Danio rerio: one gene and its partner. Each later gene encodes a partner of the first gene's protein in a complex. Links are inferred from orthologs where the notes say so. Each region holds a gene or a part of one and is shown on either strand. Other genes may lie near its edges.

Region 1 (3,514 bases):
ATATCGCTAAATTTTTGGATTTTTTTATTGCAAATGAAAATCAAAGGGCACTTGTGAGGGAATTAAACCATCCACAACTGCATTTTAAATGAGAACGGAGACATTTTTGAAAAACACTAGACCACACACATGTTGAGCATGCTATGAAACAGTATTCTTTAAAATGCTGTTCGCTACTGTGTGAATATGTGTAAAGAAAAACAAAATATAGCTTGGACACTAAGCAGAGAAGATGGCAGTTTAAAAGAGGACTGTGTGCTACCTTTCTGTCCATGTCGACTGCTGAACTTGTCTCCGATCTCTGGTCTGCGTGTTTGCCTGAGCAGGATCTTGACTAAGAAGGCGTCCTCTGCATTGGACGAGATCATCACCTTCTCAATGTAGGAGTCTGTTGCTCCTTTGTACCTATAGAACCAACAAAGTGGGCATTTGGGTTGCTATCGAATGACAACAACAAACTTGTGTCTGGCTTTTAGAAAATTAAGAACGGTGTCTTACGAGACTGGCACTTCTCTGTATTGTGGCTGGCCTGGCTGGGCACTGCCCTCCAGTGGTGTTTGGGTGACGGTGGGCATGGACTTATTCACCAACACCTGTTTGTTCTCAACCTTCTCACCTACAAGAAGCATAAAGCACCTTTCACACACTGCTAGATTAACATTTTAAAGGGATAGTTCACCCAAAAAATGAACTCAAGTGATTGTTTTTGTTCAGATGAACACACAACAAGAAATTCTGAAGAATATTAGATAAAAGCAGCCAATGACATCCGTAGTAGGAACAAAAATAATCTGAATGTCAATGGCTGCTTTTTTTTTTTTTTTTTTACAACATTCTTTAATATATTCTCTATTGTGTTCAAGAAGAAAGAAGCTCCAACAGGTTTGAAACAAGTGAAGGATGAGAAAATAATGACAGAACTTTCATTTTTAGGTGAACTATCCATTTTTAGACACATCTCAATTGTAGATGTCTACCAGGTGAGCAGATGCCATCAGCGTCCAGGATGCTGTGTCTCCAAATGGGCTTCCGCGTTTCTGCGTCCAGCATTGGACCCATCACCTTGTCAAAAGTCTGATTTGTGTACCTCCTCAAGGTGCACTTAGCGTTTTTATACACCAAACATCTACCAAAGCCTAACACAAGAAAGAAAAATCAGAATACAACAGTAATATACTTAAATATACTTAAAAATACTCAATAACTGTTAAAAAAGTAAAAATATTCTCTCCTGCATGCTAAGAACACTTCTAAGTGTGTTTAAATATGAGAGAGGTTTGTTTTTTGCCAATGTGGTCATAATTAAGAGTTCAGCTCTTACCTCTGTCGAGAGAAGCTTTATTGAGCACCAGGGCATCTTCTATATCATAGCCGCTGTAGCTCATTACAGCCACTGTGGCATTCTGGCCGGCGGGTAGCTTCTCAAAATCTATCAGCTCGATGGTCTTGGTCTTCACCATGGGCCTCTGTGGGTATGCCAGCAGGTACATCAGGGTGTCTATACGATTCCTCTGATTATAGCCAATAGTACCTAATCAGAAACAGTGATGACAGGATGAGACGTCACTAAAAAAGGACCACGCAAAACTTAAAAGGAAAAGTGCAATATTAATGCATTCATAAATATGTAAAATTGCATTTAACATATATAATAATAATAATAATAAAAATAATATTTCATTTAATGACAGTATTATTATTTATGAGGCATTTTGCCACTTTTGCTCTAAAATCCTTTATAAATATTGGTTCAGTCAGTGGTGTGATTCTGAGGTTGACCTTTGGTCATATAACGTAAGATAAGGCAGTGTTTGTGAAATTAGTTTAGAGACTATTTCATTTGGTGTCACAAGTAGCACAAAAAAAGGAGAAAATTCCCAAGAAACATACATTTTAATAAATTACAAAACACTTGAAAAATAGGAAAAGCTAAATTAAAAGGACAGCAATGACAAAAACAAATGTTAACATCTAAAAGTTTAATGTAAATTATTACCACAAAATCCATTACATTGCTTCCAATTAACTAATTCAGTAGATCAAATCAATCTAAATTCAATCATTTCACAGACTGCCTGAGGGCTGTTGGAGTAAAGGCCTGTGTCGATAGTGTTAAAATCTATGAGATGGATGTTTAGCATGGAGAAGATGGAGGGGTGTGGGGGGGGGGGGGGGGGTTTATACTATAATAGCCGACGTCCCTTGAGGCCTTGACATTTGTCAGATGCTATTACTCTACAATCAGGCTACAAGCACACAGTGTGTTATAATAGGGCCGGGGCCACACAACTGGATTTGCACATGTATGGGGCTGTCCGTCCAGAAAAAAAGAAGACAAGGCCGAGGATATTGGGCCAAATATAGTCGCAGTCTCAGTGGTTTTTGTAATGGGGGTGGTGGACAGGAGAGGTTTAAGTAGTTTTGGTAACCAGGGCAGCAAAGTGTGTGTGTGTGTGTGTGTGTGTGTGTGTGTGTGTGTGTGTGTTTTCGTTCGCTCTTGCACAGCTGAGCACACACTAACCCTGAGCTCAGGACACAATGAATGGCTAATGACACTCAGAGACACTGGCAGGGAAAGGCCTTCTTCCACACACACACACACACACTCACTCACAAAAGTGGGACTACGCAAGCAGGCAATGTTTGATGTCCACATGCAGAATGTGGTTTTGTGAAAAGCGAGTGAATAGAAGTGTGTGTGTTTGTAAGTGCGACTGCTCCTCCAGGATGTTTGTGGTCTTACCCATGGCCTGCTTGCCCATGGCACACTGGTAGGTATTTCTGGGGGACTGGTTGTGATGAGGGTAAGGGATCAGACCAGCGCAGACACCTAGTAGAGTAAAGGGTTCGATCTCCAAATGAGTCGTATCTCTGATTGAGAAAAACATGAGGGTGGTCATATTAGTGTTGTCATCAACTAAAACTTTAAGAAGAGATTTTAGGTAAATAGAAAGAATTTTACGTGCAGGTAAAATGTCCATTCTAATGGTTTAAATAACTTTCGTGAAAATGTGGGTAATAAACTATTGATTGGGAAACAGTGTAGGATAATACATTTCACGCTTCCACAAACGCTAATCACTCGTTTATTCATTTCAAACCTATTCAAAGGGCATATTTAACCACATGTATACAACATCCTTATTTTAAGTTTAGTGAACCAGAATCTATAAAACCCTATTGACAAATAATGTGAGAATGTCCGGAGGAGCAGAAACTTTAGGACATTTTATTTAAAGCTACAAAAATGTGTTTCCTGTATTGTTATTGCTGAATGATAACTCTCAATTTCCCTTAAACACAAAGGATCGTAAATTTTGGTTAGCTGCTTCAACTGCTACAAGAAAATGTTGGTACAGAGGTGGAAATCCCCTCATGATCTGTCTGTTAAGCACTCGTTGTATTCACTACTGGAAATACTGTACCTAGAACTGCCATCAGCATAGATCATCCATGCTAAACTGGACATTTTGAGGGTGTGGAAAATTTATATATGTGACAAATCTTACACTGT
Region 2 (4,286 bases), on another chromosome or scaffold:
TTCGCCTGTGTGAAATAAAAGCCGTTTCTAACATATCAATTCGAGGTGTTGGTTAGGACAAAAACTCCTTTTAATATGGAAAATATTTGTTCTATCACGTGCCGTTGCTTTTATACTGAACACGGTTTACATTAGGCTTGAGACTCGCTCCTCTTGGTCATCTGGCAACCTGCACTTGCATATGTTTTGATTCTGGAATGTAATTCCTAGTTCAACCACTGGGTGTCAAATTACATACCTTTAAACATTTGCACCTTTAAATGTTATTTACAATAATTGCATTAAGACTCAGGATTAGAAAAAAAGGATTGCATATGTGCCAAAGTGTAGAAATCGCATGTTATGTAATTTCGAAAAAAAAATGACATGATACAATGAGCATAATATAAGCCCTTTAAAGATGTCAGTAAAGAGCTAGTCCTGGGCTCTGAACTGACCTTTCTTGGGAGCCGCTGGACGGATGTAAAACGGGAGCGTCTTCATGGCTCCCCTAAACTCCTGTTTGAGGGCCAGCATGTACTCGGCCTCCTCACCTGCCTGCAGGGGCACTGGCTTCTGATCCAGAGGCTGAACACATCAAACAGCACATTCACATCTGTCTGCTGCTCACACAAACACCTGCTGTCACTCATTTACACATGCCAAGACAGAAATCAGCTTTTAATAGGGCATACAGCTAAAGTCAGAATGATTTTTTTCTTTTTTAAAATATTTCCTAAATAATGTTCAACAGAGCAAGAAAATTTTCACAGTATGTCTGATAACATTTTTTCTTCCGGAGAAAGTCGTATTTGTTTTATTTCGGCTAGAATAAAATCCATTTAAAGGTCAATATTATTAGCCCCATTAAGAAAATTTTTCTTCTTCGATTGGCTACAGAAAAAAAACATTGTTATACAATGATTTGTCTAATAAACCCCAATCAACCTACTGTAGTTAAGCCTTTAAATGTCACTTTAAGCTGAATACTAGTATTTTGAAAAATATCTAGTCAAATATTATGTACTGTCTTTATGGCAGAGACATCTACAGACACTTAAAATGGCAATAAAATTATTTTCTTTACTGTAATAAAAATGTTAATTGAAATAAAAAAAACATACAGTTGAAGTCAGAATTATTAGCCCCTTTTTTATTTTTTTCCCCAATTTCTGTTTAACAGAAAGATATTTTTTTCAGCACATTTCTAAACATAATAGTTTTAATACCTCATCTCTAATAACTGATTTATTTTATCTTTGCCATGATGCACATAATATTTGACTAGATATTTTTCAAGACACTTCTATACAGCTTAAAGTGACAGTTAACGGCTTAACTAGGTAAATTAGGTTAACTAGGCAGGTTAGGGTAATTAGGCAAGTTATTGTATAATGATGGCTTGTAGACTATCGGAAAAAAAATTGCTTAAAGGGGCTAATAATTTTGACCTTAAAATGGTATTTAACAATTAATAACTGCTTTAATTTTCCAGAAGAAACAATATTATCAGACATACTGTGAACATGTCCTTGCCCTGTTAAACATCATTTAAAAAATATAAAAAAGAACAAAAAAATTCAAAGGGGGGCTGATAATTCTGATTTCTACTCTTACTTCCAGCAGGATAACGCGCCATGTCAGAAAGCACAAATCATCTCAGACTTTTTTTTTTAACATCACAATGAGTTCACTGTACTCAAATGGCCACAATATTCACCAGATCACAATCCAATAGAGCATCTTTGGGATGTGGTGGAAAAGGAGATTCACATCATGGATGTTTAGCGGGCAAACTGCTTGATGATATCATGTCAATATGGACCAAAATCTCTGAGGAATATTTCCAGTATCTTTTTGAATCTATGCCACGAATGATTAAGGCAGTTCTGAAGACAAAAGTGGTCCAACCCAAAACTAGTAAGGTGTACCTAATAAAGTGGCCGGTGAGTGTAAGTGGCTTATTATGTAACTGTTAAGGTAAATAAGGTGGAATACTGTGATGATGTGTTCAACAATAAAACAATTTGAATTCTAAAACAAATATTTAAACAAATATGTTGTTGTGATATTAGACACTTTTAAAATGTAATGTTTGCTGAATGTTGAACAGGACCGTTTTTTCAATGCAATTTCTGTGTAGCTCGTGACGCCATCCACATTAAACTATTAAAGCACTGCGTTTATGCTCATGAAATGCAGAATCTGACTCATATCTTGATAATAGCAGTGTATAACAAGCGTATAACAGTTTATAAACGAGGCTTTATTGTTGTGTCTTGAAGACTCACGGGGAACAGAGGTGTCGGCTGGATGCAGGACGGAGGGAGATTTTCACCTTTACCGATCCCAACTATCTCCACAGAGAAAGTGAGCTGCCCTCTGCCCCTTCCTGCCATCATCTGAGACAAAATATTTCACATTTATTAATCATACATCCTCTTTATTTAACTCGTTTATCCGTTATTCACAGTATAAGTTTACTCATTATCAAACAACTAAATTCGGCTAGAAAAGACACATTTAGGCCAAACATGTTAAAATATTTATTTTTACATAAATGTACTTTTGGTAAATGTTTTATTTTCAATGTAACGTTTTATTTGTTTTGACCGAACTGTAGCATATAAACACACCTCTTTCACTCAATGCGGCGAAATCCCTCTTTATTTTCAACTTCGTTTCATTGTGCAAAGGTTTTATTGGTTAATCCGTCAGTAAACGTGGTTGTTTTTAATGTAATTTCAGGTTTTATTGATGTAAAATTGAGCAATAAAATCACCCGCCAAACATCTGCCCGTTTGTTTTTGCCCGCTTCTGAAAACACTCCTGCCAGAAACATGAGCGCGGTCTTTTATGGTTCCGCGTTTCGCGTCAGTTAACGTTAACCAGTGCTACTCAAAGTGAATCATGCTAAACAAACAAATCATTACAAAATATGTAAGGATTCATTACATGTTTTGCATATTGCTCACAGAGATGCTGATGCACATGCTAAAGATTATTATACTGTAGTCAACATTTGAAGTGGATCAAAACCTTTATCAAAGTTGTTCCAAAACTATTCAACAACACACATTTTTAACTTAGGACAAATTTTGATAAACATTTTTGATCTGTTTTAAATGTTGGCTATTATTTATTAAAACTACTGTTTATGTAGCCTATAACTAAGTTACAACACTTTATTACATATGTGAAACATATTTGTCCGTGTACATACAGTATAGATATTTCTGTAATTCATGGCTTTATTGTATAATACTCACAGACACAGTGCGTGTGTGTGCGCGTGCATGCGTGTGTGTGTGTGTGTGTGTGTGTTTACAGTTGAGGTATTGTTATTAGCCCCCCTTAGAATTCTTTTTTCTTTTTAAAATATTTCCCAAATGATGTTTAACAGGGCAAGGAAATTTTCACAGTATGTCTGATAATATTTTTTCTTCTGGAGAAAGACTTAATTGTTTTATTTTGGCTAAAATAAAAGCAGTTTTGAATTTTTCAATGAAAATTTTTAGGGTCAAAATTATTAGCCCTTTTAAGCTTTTTTTTTTTTTTTTTTTTTGATAGTCTACAGGGGTTCTCAAAGTGGGGGACGCGCGACAATGAAGGGGGGGGGGGTCGCCTAGTTATTTCCAAAAATCGAGTTATTTTTATTAAACCATAAGAATTACCATATTTTATCCATAACCTACTGAAGAGAAAAATCTAAATCATCTTTATAGTGATTTAACATTTTAACATCTTTATACACTATATACTGCTGTATTGAGTTACTATAGTAGCTTCTAGTTACTAGTTCTATTGGATTGCGACCCCTGGGGTAATTACATTATGTTAAAGACAGCAATAGCGTCAGATGTAACAGACTGATTTTATAACACCAGGTTAAACTTTCTGGCACATTAACAGCACTGACATACATTAATTCCACAAAGAATAGACATGGGTTTCTGTACTTATAACCACCTCAGAGGATGTTGGGAGTCGCGAGTCACTGGCATTGTCGTTTTGGGTGTCATGGGCTGAAAAGTTTGGGAACCCTTGGATTACAGAACAAACCACTGTTATACAATAACTTGCCTTATTACCCTAACCTGCCTAGTTAAACTAATTAACCTAGTTATGCCTTTAAATGTCACTTTAAGCTGTATAGAAGTGTCTTGAAAAATATCTAGTCAAATATTATATACTGTCATCATGGCAAAGATAAAATAAATCACTTATTAGAAATGAGTTAATGTTTATTAAAAAACTATTATGCTTAGAAATGTGTTGAACAAATCTTCTTTTCGTTAAACAGAAAT

What was found. Proteins that work in one complex are often made in the same cells at the same time.
Region 2: polr3b (region 1) and polr3glb share a complex: the UniProt entries of both Homo sapiens proteins name them as parts of the RNA polymerase III (Pol III) complex. The link is inferred for Danio rerio from reciprocal best matches to the Homo sapiens genes POLR3B and POLR3GL.

What each region holds. Positions count from the first base shown.
Region 1 is NC_133193.1:16,747,177-16,750,690, forward strand, and holds part of polr3b (DNA-directed RNA polymerase III subunit RPC2), read right to left. Parts: intron 2,872-3,514; coding exon 2,744-2,871; intron 1,532-2,743; coding exon 1,322-1,531; intron 1,137-1,321; coding exon 978-1,136; intron 617-977; coding exon 499-616; intron 406-498; coding exon 263-405; intron 1-262. UniProt on the Homo sapiens protein: Catalytic core component of RNA polymerase III (Pol III), a DNA-dependent RNA polymerase which synthesizes small non-coding RNAs using the four ribonucleoside triphosphates as substrates.
Region 2 is NC_133191.1:47,264,631-47,268,916, reverse strand, and holds the start of polr3glb (DNA-directed RNA polymerase III subunit RPC7-like), read right to left. Parts: upstream 2,811-4,286; 5' UTR 2,616-2,810; intron 2,382-2,615; 5' UTR 2,379-2,381; coding exon 2,271-2,378; intron 568-2,270; coding exon 438-567; intron 1-437. UniProt on the Homo sapiens protein: DNA-dependent RNA polymerase catalyzes the transcription of DNA into RNA using the four ribonucleoside triphosphates as substrates. Specific peripheric component of RNA polymerase III which synthesizes small RNAs, such as 5S rRNA and tRNAs.